Linked DNA regions of Elephas maximus indicus. The protein of the gene in region 2 interacts with the protein of the main gene of each other region in a pairwise test. Links are inferred from orthologs where the notes say so. Each region holds a gene or a part of one and is shown on either strand. Other genes may lie near its edges.

What was found.
Region 1: the proteins of TSKS (region 2) and TSSK2 interact in binary tests that used the Homo sapiens proteins (3 or more experiments, as listed by UniProt). The link is inferred for Elephas maximus indicus from reciprocal best matches to the Homo sapiens genes TSKS and TSSK2.

The regions. Positions count from the first base shown.
Region 1 is NC_064840.1:34,803,757-34,810,422, reverse strand, and holds TSSK2 (testis-specific serine/threonine-protein kinase 2), read left to right. Parts: upstream 1-4,409; 5' UTR 4,410-4,461; coding exon 4,462-5,541; downstream 5,542-6,666.
Region 2 is NC_064829.1:100,184,005-100,192,640, reverse strand, and holds the start of TSKS (testis-specific serine kinase substrate), read left to right. Parts: upstream 1-5,327; 5' UTR 5,328-5,373; coding exon 5,374-5,543; intron 5,544-6,128; coding exon 6,129-6,357; intron 6,358-8,636. UniProt on the Homo sapiens protein: May play a role in testicular physiology, most probably in the process of spermatogenesis or spermatid development.

The DNA.
Region 1 (6,666 bases), on a different chromosome or scaffold from region 2:
CTGGATGGTGGATCCCCAGGAAGTGGCTTCCTATGCCAGGGACCTCTCAAGTTGAGAGTGCTGGCTCTGCTTGCAGTTGTGGCTAACGGTCTGGGCAGCCCCACAAGGCTGCCAATGGGGGAGGAGACATTGCTGAGGGTAGCTGCTCCAGCCCCTCGGCCCCTTTTTAGTCCTCCAACCTGCCAGGCAGCTCATGTTTTCTGATCTGTCACCATGCCATCCCACCAGCCCAGAAGGAGGGATGCTGCTGCGAGATGTGTCCCTCAGTCACTATGTGGCCCTGACTACACCTCATTCCCCTCCAGGCCCCAATCTGTCCACAGGGGTGATGCCTCCCTGCCAGAGGTGGCAAGCAATACTGGCAAGGAGAGGAAAGGACCAGCATCCTTACCAAAGCAGCCTGGCACCTGCTGGCAGGGAAAGGGGCCCCCGGCGGCCACAGAGGGAATGGCCTGCACGTAGCACTGTGGCTGCAGTCCCACGCATCCTCACCTAGCCTGCCGTGCCCCTCTTCTAACTCTGTACCACACTCCAGACCACCTCTTCTGGACCTGTGGCTCTTGGCTGTCTCCTGAGGACAAGAGCCTTCACACAACTCTCCCGAATCTGCCATCCCCTATCTGCATCCCTATTTTGGGCAGACCGCAACCCAGGGGGCTGGGAAAAGAGGTAGGTCCACTCTGGGCCTGCCCTCTGCACCTGCCATATCCAGTCCACCTCTCTGCCTAGCCCCTCCCTCTCCCCACAGCCCCCTAGTCTCTTCCCACAGCAACCAGAGCCCACCTCCATCATCCTGCTCTCATTGCCCATGAAGGAGCCCAACGGCTAGCCCTGGAGGTCCTCACAGGTCTAACCTCCTGCTGTTTCCCCTCCCTCCTCTGCTGGCCTCCCAGCCCATCCCTCACCCCCACCCCGCCGTCGTCACACTGCGCACTGGTCTGGGCAGACATGCCCAGGCTGTGCTCAGGGGCAGAGACCCCGCCCTTTCTCATACCCTCCCGGTCTAACTCCTGCCCATCTCACCAGGATCCACAAGGCCTTCTGGGAGTCCCCAGAGGTACCTGGACACACGCATCCCAGGGCACAAGCACAAACCAGGCCCCAGGTAATACTGGAGGAGTCAGAGCCAGCCCAGACCATGCTACTCACCTCGTGGTCAAGCACACTGCACAGGTGGCAGCGGGGGTGGGGGCCTTCTGGAGGCCAACTTGGGGAAGTCCTGAGGAGGAGCTCATGAATGTCCTCCCTCTGTCACATCCGTGCAGTTCAGCCAAGAGGCAAGCCTGGGTGGGAGGGGCCGTGGGAAAGAGCACTCGTGTACCTCCTCGGCAACCAAATCCATGAGGTGGGCATCCAATGGCTGCCTTCACGGTGAGAAGACAGCTCGGGGGGCAGGTGGCCTGCCTGAAGTCACAAGCCTGGGGTGGGGCCTGTGACCAGCTCAACCCAGGGGCTCCACCCTCATCACCCCAGCCCCACGAGGCTGCCAGTGGGGGAAGGTCATTGCTGAGGGCAGGTGCTCCAGCCTCTCAGCCCCTTTTCAGCCCTGCAGCTTGCCAGGCAGCTTGTGTTTTCTGATCTGTCACCGTGCCGTTCTCCCAGCCAGCACCCAGCTCTCAACAATGCCGAGCTGTCCCACTAGCCCAGGAGAAGAGGGGGTTAGACCCCTTCAGTGACCCCCAAAGACCCTCAACATGGCCCTCCATGGCCTGTCCGAGCTCCCATCAGCCCCTGCACACTCTTGCCACACTGCTTCCTCAGCCTTCAGCTGCCCCCCACCCTTCATTTGACGAATTCCCCTGACAGTAGTCTTCTCCAGCCTCCCTAAGTCCAGTCCCGAAGCTCTACGTCCTCACAGCACCGTGGGCATCTGCCACAGAACAGCCACCATTGTCAATTCACACTTGGTGTGATAACGAGCCATGCAAATCTCCTTCCGCACCTCTGGGCTCCCTGAAGGCCAGGGCCTGCCTCTAGTTTATCAGCATCCCCAGCACCTAGAACAGACTCTCAAGTATTTGTAGAACGAATAAGTACATGGGTACCCACTTTATAGAGGAAACAAGCTCAGGGAAGTGGCTTTCGTGGTGTCAAAGGACCCAGGTCCGTAGGTCTCCAACCCAGAGGACTTTAGCACTAGGAATAACCCTGGAGGGCCCCAGGTCCAATCTCAGCCCCTCAAACACACACACCTGAGTCCCCACCCTGCCTGGAAGGCTCAAGGATGAGGAGGCTCCCTCCTCCCAGAGCTCCCTGCTCCATGCCCACAGCTCCCTTGGTGATGCTGATCCTGGGCAGAGTCAAAGTGCAAGGGATGGAACTCACAAGAAAGGGAGGAGTCAGTGTGCTCAGCCAAGAAGGCAGACACACAGAAGGACTCCCCGGAGCATTTAGGAGCATTGGAGGGATGGGGAGTAAACTCCTGTGCCACATGCTCCCGGATCCAGCCTGCAAATCCACACAGTCAGCCCCTTCTGAGTCCCGCAGGAGTGAAGTTCTGGTAGTTTTAGCCGAAGGGGGTGCCCAGGAGAAAGGAAATGTACTGAGCTACAACTATTAACAATGGATGCTCTTGAGAAAGAGTGGGCCCAGGGGAGAAGGGCTCAACAGGGACAGGGGGCTGTAAGCAGGGGATCACCACTCTGCTCCCACCTGACATCTCACCAGGATCCACAAGGCCTTCTGGAAGTCCCCAGCAGGACCTGGACACACGCATCTCAGGGCCCAAGCCCAAGCCAGGCCCCAGGTAATACTGGAGGAGTCAGAGCCAGCCCAGACCATGCTACTCACCTCGCGGTCTGCCCTGCCCCTGGAGCTCTTCCACACTAACCTCTGGACAGAAAGCTCCTGGTCAGGTCACCAGACAGGTCCACACGGCCATACTTCTGGCCAAGATAACATCGGCTGGCACCCCTGCCTCTTGTCAACCCAGAAGAAGCTCCTCCACGTCCCTGCTCCAATGTCACTTCCTCTTGGGAACCTTTCCTGGCCAGCCACCTAGAAGCAGGAACACTGAGCACACGGCAGGCCTGCCTGGGCACCTCAGCCACAGCTGCCAGACAGAGCTCCTGAGCCAAGGAGAGCAAGTGCTCCAGACGTGTGGGCTCAGGGTGCTCCTGACAGACGAGAAGCAAACATCGGAGCTTCCAAAGGACTTAAGGAGACACATAAGGATGGTGCAAAGCAAAAGCCGATGCACATATCCTGAGCAAGCACCTGGGTGAGGAGCGGGGCCTGATGCATGGTGAGGAGTCCAGCAGGCAAAAATACTCCCACTCTTCATGAAGGTCCCAAGTGACAGAGTTCAGGCCCCCCTCCTCACCCAGGTGCTTGCTCTTAACAGTCAATGGTTGGGGTGCCACCCCGCCACACACACACCCAAGCCCTGCCAGAGGCCCCACCCACTCACTGACCCAGGCAGCCCCATTCAGCCTCGTCACCTCTTACCTGGTTAAAGGCACTGGCCTCTAAACATACCCTAAAGCCCACTATCTACGCTCGCTGCCAATGACCGTCTTAAAATGCGACTTGGGTCACGGCCCCTTCCGTCCTGTGCCGTGCAACAGCTGCCTGTCACCCAGGACAAAAGCCCTCCACAAACTGGCCACAACTCACCTTCTCTTCCACTTCCCACACAGCCATCAGGATGCCCTACCTCCTCCTCTGGCTGGCCAAAGCCTTTCCCTTCCTCAGGCTGGCCCCACTCCTTGAAACACAGGTCTGTCTGCCCTGGGCTACAGTACACACAGCTGGCCATTGCAGCATCCCTGCGCCCTGCCCACCCTGCCACCCACTCACACACTCCTGCTCACTGGAGCAGTGACTCCCTCTACCTACCTCCCAACCCCAAAAAGCTGCAGCTCCTGTTCCCAAACATGGAGCTGCTCCTAGCCACCAGGCTAGATGTCGCCACCTGGCTGGGCCAGGACAGTCCCTCCCAGGCGTCACTGGCTTTAGAGACATACTTTAGAGACAATTTTCTTCACCCCCACAAGAAAGCTACAGAAAACCACCCCTACTGGAACCAGGACCAATGCAGGTTCAGCCCCCACAACCAGGGGTGTGAACTAGGCCCCGGCCACCCCCCTTCAGGCCTGACGCTGAAGGCATTCCTTGTATTGCCCACCCTGGCAGGAAAGGCACAGCAAAGGAGGTGAAGGGAGGGTCACCACAGTCCTGGGTGCCAACTTCCTCCCCACAGGTGGGCAGCGGGTGCTCTTGCCAGGCCGACCTGGCTTTGCATTCTAGGGGCCCATTCACCCCACCTTAGTCCCCACTCCCAGCAGCCTGGCTTTATGACTTCATTTGCTGAAGTCACCCAGGGACAATGCTGAGCATTCCACCCTCCAACTCCAAGCCCAGCCCACTCAAGCACTCCCCACAGTGTAAATGAGGACAATGTCTGCTGGCCCACGTGGGGAGGGGATGTAGAGGGCAGCGGCACCGGCCGCTCCTGGCACCATGGACGATGCCGCAGTCCTAAGGAAGAAGGGTTACATCGTGGGCATCAATCTGGGCAAGGGCTCCTATGCAAAAGTCAAATCTGCCTACTCCGAGCGCCTCAAGTTCAATGTGGCAGTCAAGATCATTGACCGCAAGAAAACACCCACTGACTTTGTGGAGAGATTCCTTCCTCGGGAGATGGACATCCTGGCAACCGTCAACCACCGCTCCATCATCAAAACCTACGAGATCTTCGAGACTTCCGATGGGAGGATCTACATCGTCATGGAGCTTGGCGTCCAGGGCGACCTCCTGGAGTTCATCAAGTGCCGGGGAGCCCTGCATGAGGATGTGGCACGCAAGATGTTCCGCCAGCTCTCTTCGGCTGTCAAGTACTGCCATGACCTGGATGTTGTCCACCGAGACCTTAAGTGTGAGAACCTTCTCCTCGACAAGGACTTCAACATCAAGCTGTCTGACTTCGGCTTCTCCAAACGCTGCCTGCGGGACAGCAGCGGGCGCATCCTCCTCAGCAAGACCTTCTGTGGGTCTGCGGCATATGCAGCCCCCGAGGTGCTACAGGGCATCCCCTACCAGCCCAAGGTGTATGACATCTGGAGCCTGGGTGTGATCCTCTACATCATGGTCTGCGGCTCCATGCCCTACGATGACTCTGACATAAAGAAGATGCTGCGCATCCAGAAGGAGCACCGCGTGGACTTCCCCCGCTCCAAGCACCTGACGAATGAGTGCAAGGACCTCATCTACCGCATCCTGCAGCCAGACGTCAACCGACGGCTGCACATTGATGAGATCCTCAGCCATGCTTGGCTGCAGCCCCCCAAGCCCAAAGCCATGTCTTCCAGTTCCTTGAAAAGGGAGGGTGAGGGCAAGTACCGGACTGAGTGCAAACTGGACACCCGGCCAGGCTCGCGGCCTGACCACCGGCCCGACCACAAGCTGGGGGCCAAAACCCAGCACCGGCTGCTGGTGGTGCCTGAGAACGAGGACAGCAGGATGGAGGACCGGCTGGCCGAGGCCTCCAGGGGCAAAGACCATCACCCTTCTGGAGCCGAGGTGGGGAAAGCAAGCACCTAGCAGTAGTGAGGGCCCCGGGTGGCTGGTGAGTGGTTGGCACTCACGTAAACTAAGTAGCCAGCTAGGAGCTGAAGAAGGCACAGGTGCAAGGAACAAGTAAAATCCGTCAATTAAACCACTATTTTGATTATGTTCTATTAGCTTTCTTCCACTCAGTAGCAAAGACATTAACTACTGACCACCAAATAAACCACAAAGTATATAAAGCTGCAACAGTGCCCAGTGAGGAGTCTTTTTCTCTAGGACTCAGCCAGCCCCGTCCCTGCGCGTGGGGGGTTCCGGTATAGGGACACAGGAAGATTCATCGCGAGGCCTGTGGGCACAGACCCCACATCTGTCTCCCTCTGACTTGCTCCCAACCCTACTGCCAACACAGGCTGGGATAGGTCCATGTCTGGCCACCTCAGATGCAATGCAGCTCACTTGACCCCACCACACTCTCATACTATCCTTTCACAGCATCTTCCTCTCCTCCCACCCCTGGGGGTGCCCTGCTAGGACCGGTCCTCTACACCCTCCCCAACCTCTCGCTTGCCCTGTGAGCTCTGACTTCCCCAGTGTGTCTGTCCAGCCCCGCGCAAGGCCCTAAGCAATGGTTCACGGGCCAGTTTCTGCTTTGTTCCCCACATGACCCCAGCACATGCCCCACACTAGCCAACTGCTCAAGGTGTTCTGGCTGCAATTCCTGACCCTGTGGAGGGCCCTGTCTGGAGAATACCCCCTTCTCTATCTGACTCATGCCCACCTCTGCCTCCCCACTTCCTGGGGGCTCCCTGAGGCCAAAGCTCACCCTTTCCTAAGGGGAAAAAGCACCGAGAGCCCCACCTTCCAGACCCCTAGGCAGTCCCAGCCCCACCACACCCCGCCCCCATCCCTTGGTGGTAGAGGGCATGCTGGGGGCTCAGCCCCACCAGGAGCTTGCAGGAACTGTCAGGAGCACAGGTCAGTGCTGCCCTAGGCAGCGGGTGTCAGGTCCTGGGTTGGGCCTCCAGAGAATATCAAGGACTTATGGGAGGGAGTGGCCAGATGGAGGAGGCCCGGGTGCAGGAAGCTTAGAGAAGATTGCCAGGTGCAGCCTGAACAGACTCCCAAGTGTGCTTCCCTGAGTACCCTAGGCTCCGGAGC
Region 2 (8,636 bases):
TCTTCAGTCAGGACAGCTTCTTGTCTGCGCCCACAGGCATGCCTCTTCCTGGCCCTCAGCCTTTCAGCTCTTGGCCTTCGACTCCTCAGGGGTCTTGGGCCTTTTGGGCCGGCCCAGCCTATGCCTTGCTTGGGCAAATATTACAAAGCTCTTTAATTCGCCGATAAGTGCCTGGGGCACCCCACTCCACCCGTAAGCCTCGGCTTGAAGGTGCTCAGCTCTCTCACTTCGTGGGTTGGTGAACCTAGTTCTGTCAAGTGCCCAGAGACACCTCACTTTGCCAGCAAGCCTCCTGCCCAAAGCACTCTGCTTTCTCGCTCTGTGGGCCAGAAAGCCCACTGTGTCATCTTTGCTGGACTCCCAGTTCTGCTGCTGTTGTTTCTCTGCCACCACTTCTCACTGTCTTGAGCCATCTCTGATGTTACAGCTCTCTGTCTCCTGGGTCTAGCAGGTTCTCAGCACAGGGATCCTCGGTCCAAAGGACACACTCCACTCCTAGCTGTTCTTGGTGGTAGTGAGTCCCACCCTCTCTGCTCACTTCTCTCTCCTTTTGTCTCTTGTAAGATAAAAAGTGTGACTTGAATAAGAATGGAAAGAGTGGTGACTGAGTTAACCCTTTCAAGAAGCAATTGTTTTCTGCTTTGAATTTTTTGTAGATACCACGTGTTTTCATTAATGGAAGCATGCTGAATCACTGAGTGTTGTTGAATTTTTGGTAGGTAGTATGGATTTTGTTTTCTTGCCCCCTCCCACAAGCCTACCCTTAGAATCCAGAGGGACACCCATTGCCCCACTAATTCTACCCCCAGAGTCCCCTCTGAGCCCACTGGGACATACATGTCTCCACAAAATTTCTGTTTTTTTCCTACCAAAAATGCACACAGCTCAATGCACAATACCCTGTAGAAACAGTAATTTGTGGCACACTCCTGTTTTTTTCAGTTTTAAACAGTCATAAAGGCTTCTGCCTTGTGCCAGCATGCACCCTCAGTGGGAAAGTAGCTTCCCAATGAACATAAGAGGCAGAAAATGTTGATGGACAACCGTATATCCCACTGGTCATGAAAAGGGTAAGGATGGTGACGTGAGTCATACCCTCTAGTAAGGCATTGACTCAAGATACATCCTACAGTAATTCTTTTTCGTTAACATAAGGGACAACTCACTCCCAAATGGGACTATAACCATAGGCATAGAGGCTAGGATTTATACCACATCACAAAATGGAGCATAATTATATCAGATTTCAAAATGGAGAATTACTACATCATTACATAACTTCTAAATTACTTCATTACATAACTGCCAAATGACTGAGAATTATTTTCCAGCCAAGGTGACACATAACCATCACAGGTTCCATACACCTTATTTGCATAGTCTCGCCAGTCATTGTGTGGGAATCACAAAGGCTAGGCCTACCCGTTGTCGTCAAGTCAATTCCGACTTATAGCGACCCTATAGGACGGAGTAGAACTGCGCCAGACGGTTTCCAAGGAGCAGCTGCTGGATTCAAACTGCCAACCTTTTGGTTGGCGGATGCCTAGAACGGCCATATTAAGTAGTTCACTGCACCACACCAAGGAAACGAGAAAGAGAAGCTGAGAAGAGACCAGGACCTTCCCCCAGAGCCAACAGAAAGCCTTCCACTATAGCCAGTGCCCCGAATTCAGACTTACAGCCTTCTAAACTGTGAGAAAATAAATGAGTTTGCTACAGTTACCCATTTGTGCTATTTCTGTTATAGCAGCACTAGATAACTAAGACATTCCTGCATTAACATAAACTCACTGACCCCTAAGTTTCCTATCTAACCTTTCAAGTTGCTCTTGTCAATTTGATCCCATATAGCTAGTTCTTCAAAACAGCACAACACTAAAGGCAGACATTCTTTGCTGGTTAAGCTGAGCTATTGTTTGGTTTAAAGAAGACTTCAGGGTATATTTTTTGCCATCTTGTTTTTTTTAATTGTGCTTTAAGTGAAAGTTTATAATTCAAGTTGGTTTTTCGTACAAAAACTTATATACACAGTGTTATGTGACCCTAGTTGTTCTCCCCACAATGTGACAGCACACTCCCGTCCACCCTGTATATCTCATGTCCGTTCAACCAGCTCCTGTCCCCCTCTGCCTTCTCATCTCGACTCCAGACAGGAGCTGCCCACATAGTCTCACGTGTCTACTTGAGCTAAGAAGCACATTCTTCACCAGTATCATTTTATGTCCTATCCCAAACCCACTCTAGTCCAGTCTAATCTTTGTCTAAAGTGCTGGGTTAAGGAATGGTTTCAGTTTGGGGCTAATAGAGAATCCGGGGGCCATGACCGCTGGGGTCCCTCCAGTCTCAGTCAGATCATTAAGTCTGGTCTTTTTACTAGAGTTTGGGTTCTGCATCCCACTTTTCTCCTGCTCCATCAGGGATTCTCTGTGTTTTTTTCTTTTTTTTTTTAATGCTTTCCAAGTAAATTGCAGAAGAAGTACGTTACCCCCAAATACTTCAACATTAATTATAGTTTAGATTCTTTTTGTATTGTGGTAAAATATATATAGCATAGAATTTGCCATTTTAACCATTTTTTAAGTGTACAACCCAGAGGCATTAATCACATCCACAATGTTGTACAACCATCGCCACTATCTGTTTTCAAAACTTTTTCATCACCCCAATCGGAAACTCTGTACCCATGTCTGAGGCTCGCTATATTTCAGTGAAATGGCTCACAAACCCGTGGGTCAGGCAGCAGGCTGGAGGCTTCTGACTCAGGTGGTTGGAGGGGCTGATAAACCCAAAATCTGCAGTTCAGGTGGCAGGCCGAAGGCTTCTCACGTTCCGAGAATCGGAGGTCAGAAGATGACAAGATGAACGCAGGATCAAAAGACTGTGAGCTTTGCCCCAACGTTTGTTTTCATATCATGAATGCAGGCCACACCCCCAAGGAAACACCTCTTCCAACTGATTGGCTGCTCACATAAGATCACAAAATGGGAGGTGGTTACATAGTGTCTGCCAAACCACTGAGAATCATAGCCTAGCCAAGTAGACACATGACATTAACCCTCACAACCCATTAATCATTTACTCCCCATTCCCCCTCCCCTCAGTCCCTGGTAGCCACCAATCTCCTGTCTCTGTGCATTTACCTATTCTAGATACCTCATGTGAGTAGAGTCAGACAATATTTGTCCTTTTGTGTCTGGCTGATTTCACTCAGCATTATGTTTTCAAGGTTCACCCATGTCCCAGCATGTATCAGAACTTAGATTCTTTTTTGATAGGTGAAATTCACACACAATAAAAGCCTCAAATCTCAAGTGCACAAGTTGGTGAGTTTTAACAAATGCACACGCCTGCCATGACTTGATTTTGATTCCATTTATATGACTTATCAGTCCGAGTGGTGCTGTCAGTGTGCTCAGCTGCTAACTGAATGGTTGGAAGCTTGAGCCCACCCAGAGGTGCCTCAGAAGAAAAGCCTGGCAATGTACTTCCAAAAAAAAATTAGCCATTGAAAACCCTCTGTAGCACAGTTCTATTCTGACACACACGGGGTCACCCAGAGTTAGCGCCCACTTGAAGACAACTTTTTTTTTTTTGAAGACAACTGGTTTTTATATCACTCAATGCCTGAGGTCCCTGGGTGGTGCAAACACTGTGCTTGACTACTGTCTTGGTCATCTAGTGCTGCTATAACAGAAATACCAGAAGTGGTTGGCTTTAACAAAGAGAAATTTATTCTCTCACAGTCCCGTAGGCTAGAAGTCCAAATGTAGGGCACCAGCTCCAGAGGAAAGCTTTCTCCCTTCTGTCAACTCTGGAGGAAGGTCCTTGTCATCAATCTTCCCATGGTCTCGGAGCTTCCTGCACAGGCACCCCGGGTCCAAAGGACACTCCCGGCTCTGCTTTCATGGTGGTATGAAGTTCCCATGTCTCTCTGCTCACTTCTCTCTCTTATATCTCAAAAGAGATTGGCTTGAGCCACTATCTAATCATATAGGTTCCATCAATATAACTTCCACTAATCCATTTTATTAACATCATAGCGATGGGGTTTACAACACATAGGAAAATCTCCTCAAATGACAAAATGGTGCACAATCACATAATACTGGGAATCATGGCCTAACCAAGTTGATACATATTTTGGGGGGTCACAACTGCTAAGCTAAAGGTTGACGGTTCGAAGCCACTCAGTGGAACTGCAGAAGAAAGGCCTGGCAATCTGCTTCCCTGAAGATTACAGCCAAGAAAACCCCATGGAGTACAGTTCTACTCTGTAACATAGGAGATTGCCCTGAGTTGAAACTGACTCAACAGCAATGGAGTTTGTTTCGTTTTTTATCAATGTCTGGTATTTTCTCATTCACTTATTTTTCTGTTCCCACCCTGCCCCTCTCATCACCACCACACACTCTCATAGAATCTTCTAGGGCAGAGACTGGGACTCGTTACTCATTCACCACCTTCTCCCAGCTCCCAGGAAAGTGCCAAATTCACAGAAAACAGTAGGCAATGGGGATGGAGAAAGAAGAAGAAAGTAGGCAGCGGGGATGAAGAAGGAAAATGTTACTGAAGAATCAAGTATGAGTGTGGGGGTGTCCTAGTTATCTAGTGCTGCTATAGCAGAAATACCACAAGTGGGTGGCTTTAACAAACAAATTTATTTTCTCACAGTTTAGGAGGCTAGAAATCTGAATTCATGGCACTAGCTCTAGGGGAAGGCATTCTTTCTCTCTCGGCTCCGGGGAAAAGTCTTTGTCTCTTTTCAGTGTCTGTAAGCCTGGCGTTCTTTGGCTTCTTGGTGATCTTCACGTGGCAGGGCATCTGTCTTCCCCAGCTGTGTTTCTTTTTTCCTTGCTTAACTGCTCCTTTTATTGAAGAGATTGACTCAAGGCACACTCTAACACTGTCTCACTAACATAACAAAGAAAATCCATTCCCAAATGGGATTATAACCACTGGCATAGTAGGATTTACAGCACATATTTTTGGGGGACACAATTCAATCCATAACAGGGGGACTGAGTGACCCCACGGTTATTTTCAGGAAGAAGGTAGCTGGACTCCTTCAACCAGTGGACCAACCCATTCTAAATTCTGGGATAAAATGAGTAAATACATCACACTTCTGAAGGGGAGGGACACATTCCCAGTAGAACTGAAGTTCTTGACCCAGGAGAGTTCACTGAGGTTCCCTGGGGGAATCTGAGGAGCCAGGGTCACTCCCTATCCCTGTCCCCCCCTTTGTGGGGCCCAGTGGTTGGATCCTTTGTGAGGCAGGCTGAAGGGGGACAGGGGATTCTGTGGGTCTGTGGTCAGAGTAGGTGGTTAGTCTCAGAGGAAGGAGCCCCCAGGAGCAGGGCCTCCCCACACACCATGGCCAGCGTGGTGGTGAAGACAATCTGGCAGTCCAAAGAGATCCACGAAGCCGGGGACCCCCCAGCGGGGGTCGAAAGTCGCTCTCAGCTGATCCCAGAGGCCCCTGGGGGGGTGATCAGCCCAGCCAAGGGGATCACAAAGAAAAAGAAGGCCGTGTCGTTCCATGGGTGGGTTTGTCGCACGCTATCAGGGACGGTCCTAGCACCCAGCGTTGTCTCCAACAGAGCAGGAGTCCCACTGTGGGTCCTGGAGGAAGGGAAGCGGGCAGAGGAGTGGCAGGCAAGAGGGCAGTGGTGGAGCAAAGGGGGAAGGAGGAAGGGATGAGGAGCATGGAAGGTAGAGAGGAAGAAGGGAGTGGGGATGGAGGGAGGGAGGGAAAAGTCAGGAGAAGGCCGGGGGGACTGGAGAACGGAGAAGAAAATAGGCAGCGAGGAAGGGCAAAGGAGAAGAAATTAGGCAGTGGGGATGAAGAAAAAAGTAAGTAGGTAGGGGTAAAGGAGAAGGAAGAAGAAAGTAGCCAGTGGGGATGGAGAAGGAAGAAGAAAGTAGATAGCAAGGATAGAGAAAGAAGAAGAAAGTAGGCAGAAAAAAAAAGTAGGCTGCAGGGATGGAGAAGGAGTAGGTGGTGGGGAAGAAAATGAAAGTAAGTGGAGGCTGGAGGCAGAGGAAGCAGACAATGTGGAGACAGGGAGACAGGAGGGGCCATGCCCTGGGGGCTAAATCCCGACCTTGTGCGTGTTTCTCCTCCCCAGGGTGGAACCCCGGATGTCCCATGAGCCCATGCACTGGTGTCTGAACCTCAAACGGTCCTCGGCCTGCACCAATGTGTCACTGCTCAACCTGGCTGCCATGGAGACCACCGACTCATCAGGCACAGATTCCACCACGGAAGACAGCAGTGGCCCTCCTGCACTACTCGGGCCCCCCGCCTCCCCTGCCCCACCCTGGGCTCCAGATGACCCAGACATTACGGAAATACTGGTGAGGGTCCCCCGGCTGGGGAAGACAAGGGTCCTCACACTGGTGGTAGGCAAACATTGAGGATGGGGAGGGTCTTCTTGATTTGAAATGAGAAGGTTCTTGTCACCCTTCAAGGCCCAAAGGAATGGCCTTCTCCTCCCTCCACTGACAACCAGACATCCTGGGCGAATCATGCCTGCCCTGGGAGTTTTGTTTTTAGTTCATTCAGTTATTTCCACATGTTCCAGGCAAGGCTGAGGTCACAGGCAGGACCCCTCAGGGAGCTCCCAGTCTGGTGGGGGGCAGCAGACATGATATATGCTATAATGAAGGTGACACTGGGAATCCCATGGAAGGGGCCCTCCATCCAGGCTGGGGGTATCAGGGAAAGCTTCCTGGAGGAGGCAGTGCTAAAATTGGGCCTTGAAGGATGAGTAGGAGTTCTCTGGGTAAAACTGGGAGGTCAGCAAGACCTAGGGAATTCCTGAGTGGAGCATGGAGCTCTTCAGCTTGGTCCCTGAGCTTGTCTTTTCTCTCCTTCCCCACCACCAAGGCGTCCTCTGGGCCAGACCCTGAACAGAGTCAGACATGGACCCTGAGAATCACTAACAATAACCACGATCACCATGAGGATAACAAGGTTCACTAGCATTTACTGAGCACTTTCTAAGTTTCCAGGAGCCTCAGTTTCCTCATCTGTAAAATGGAGATTCATACTTTTGTTCTTCCCACAAATATTTCCTAAACCCCTACGAGATACCAGGCACTGGCCTAGGAGCAGAAAATAGAGCAGTGAACAAATGAGAATTCTGGAGATAGCAATACCCACCTCATGAGTGAGGGTACCATGAAGACGAATTGTGGATAAGCCATGTTGAACGTGTAGCACAGCGGCCAGCCTCTGGGAAACACTGACTAAGTGCTGGCTATCACCGTTGCTGCTGTTATTGATCCCCATTTTACAGATGGAGACAGTGAGAGCACAGAAGTTTAAATACTGTACCTAAGGCCACATAGCTTGTACATGAGGGAGCCAGGCTTAGGAGCCAGGCAGGGGGTGAGAGACATCCTGAACTAATGGGGGCAGCAGAGGTCCCTGTGGGAGCTTTGAGGAGGGAGGCCTTGGCCCAGCTGGCTATGGTCAAGGAGAACTTTCCTGAAAAGGCAAAACACAAGCTAGATTTTGAAGATAAGATATTCTCCAGGCAGAATACAGAGGAGGGTGTTCCAGCTATCTGGAACAGCATGTGCAAATGGACAGGGGCTGAAATGAAAGGAGGGAGATGAGGTTGAAGGGGACATCACGTCACAGGCTGAAAACATGGGCGTTTCTCCCGAGGGCGTTGGGGAGCCAGTGTGGGTCCATGAGCAGGAGAAAGAGAACAGTAACTTAGGATTTTGGCTCCTGTACTAGTTTTCTAGGACCACCTTAACAAAATACTACAAGTGGGTGGCTTATAAAAACAGAAATTTAGTATGTCACAGTTCTGGAGGCTGGAGGCCCAAATTAGGGCATCGGTACTCTCTCTGAAGCCTCTAGAGGAAGATCCTTTCTTAGCTCTTTCAGCTTCTGGCAGTCCCAGGTGTTCCTTGGCTTTATGGATGCATCTTCACATGGTTGTCTTCCCTCTGTCTCTCTATATATTTTCTCATTTATAAGGGCACCACTCAGATTGGATTATGGGCCCCTTTACTCCAGTATGATGTTTACTGATTACACCTGCAAAGACCCTAGTTCCAAAAACCAAACCAAACAAACAAACAAACAATCGCAGCTGGAGAAGAAGATTCCAACTCATAGTGACCCTATAGGACGGAACTCCTTCATAGGGTTTCCAGGGCTGTAAATCTTTACGGAAGCAGACTGCCACATCTTTCTCCCATGGAGCAGCTGGTAGGTTCAAACCACCTACCTTTCAGTTAGCCGCCAAGCACTTAACTACTTCACCACCAGGGCTCATTAAAGGTAAGCAGGTGCCACTGAGACATGAACTGGAATCCCTGGATTAAAAATTCAGAGTGCTGGCACAGTGACTAAGCAATCGGCTGCTACCCAAAAGGTCAGCGGTTCGAAGCCACTAGCCACTCCGCTGGAGAAAGATGTGGAAGTCTACTGTGAAAATTCAAAGGAAACCAAACCCGTAAAGATCACAGCTTTGGAAAACCCTATGGGGGCAGTTCTACTCTGTCCTATAGGGTCACTATGAGTCAGAATCAACTCAACAGCAACGGGTTTATTTCCAAACGAGGTCACATTCACAGGTACCAGGGGTTAGGACTTCAATATATTTTTTGGGGGG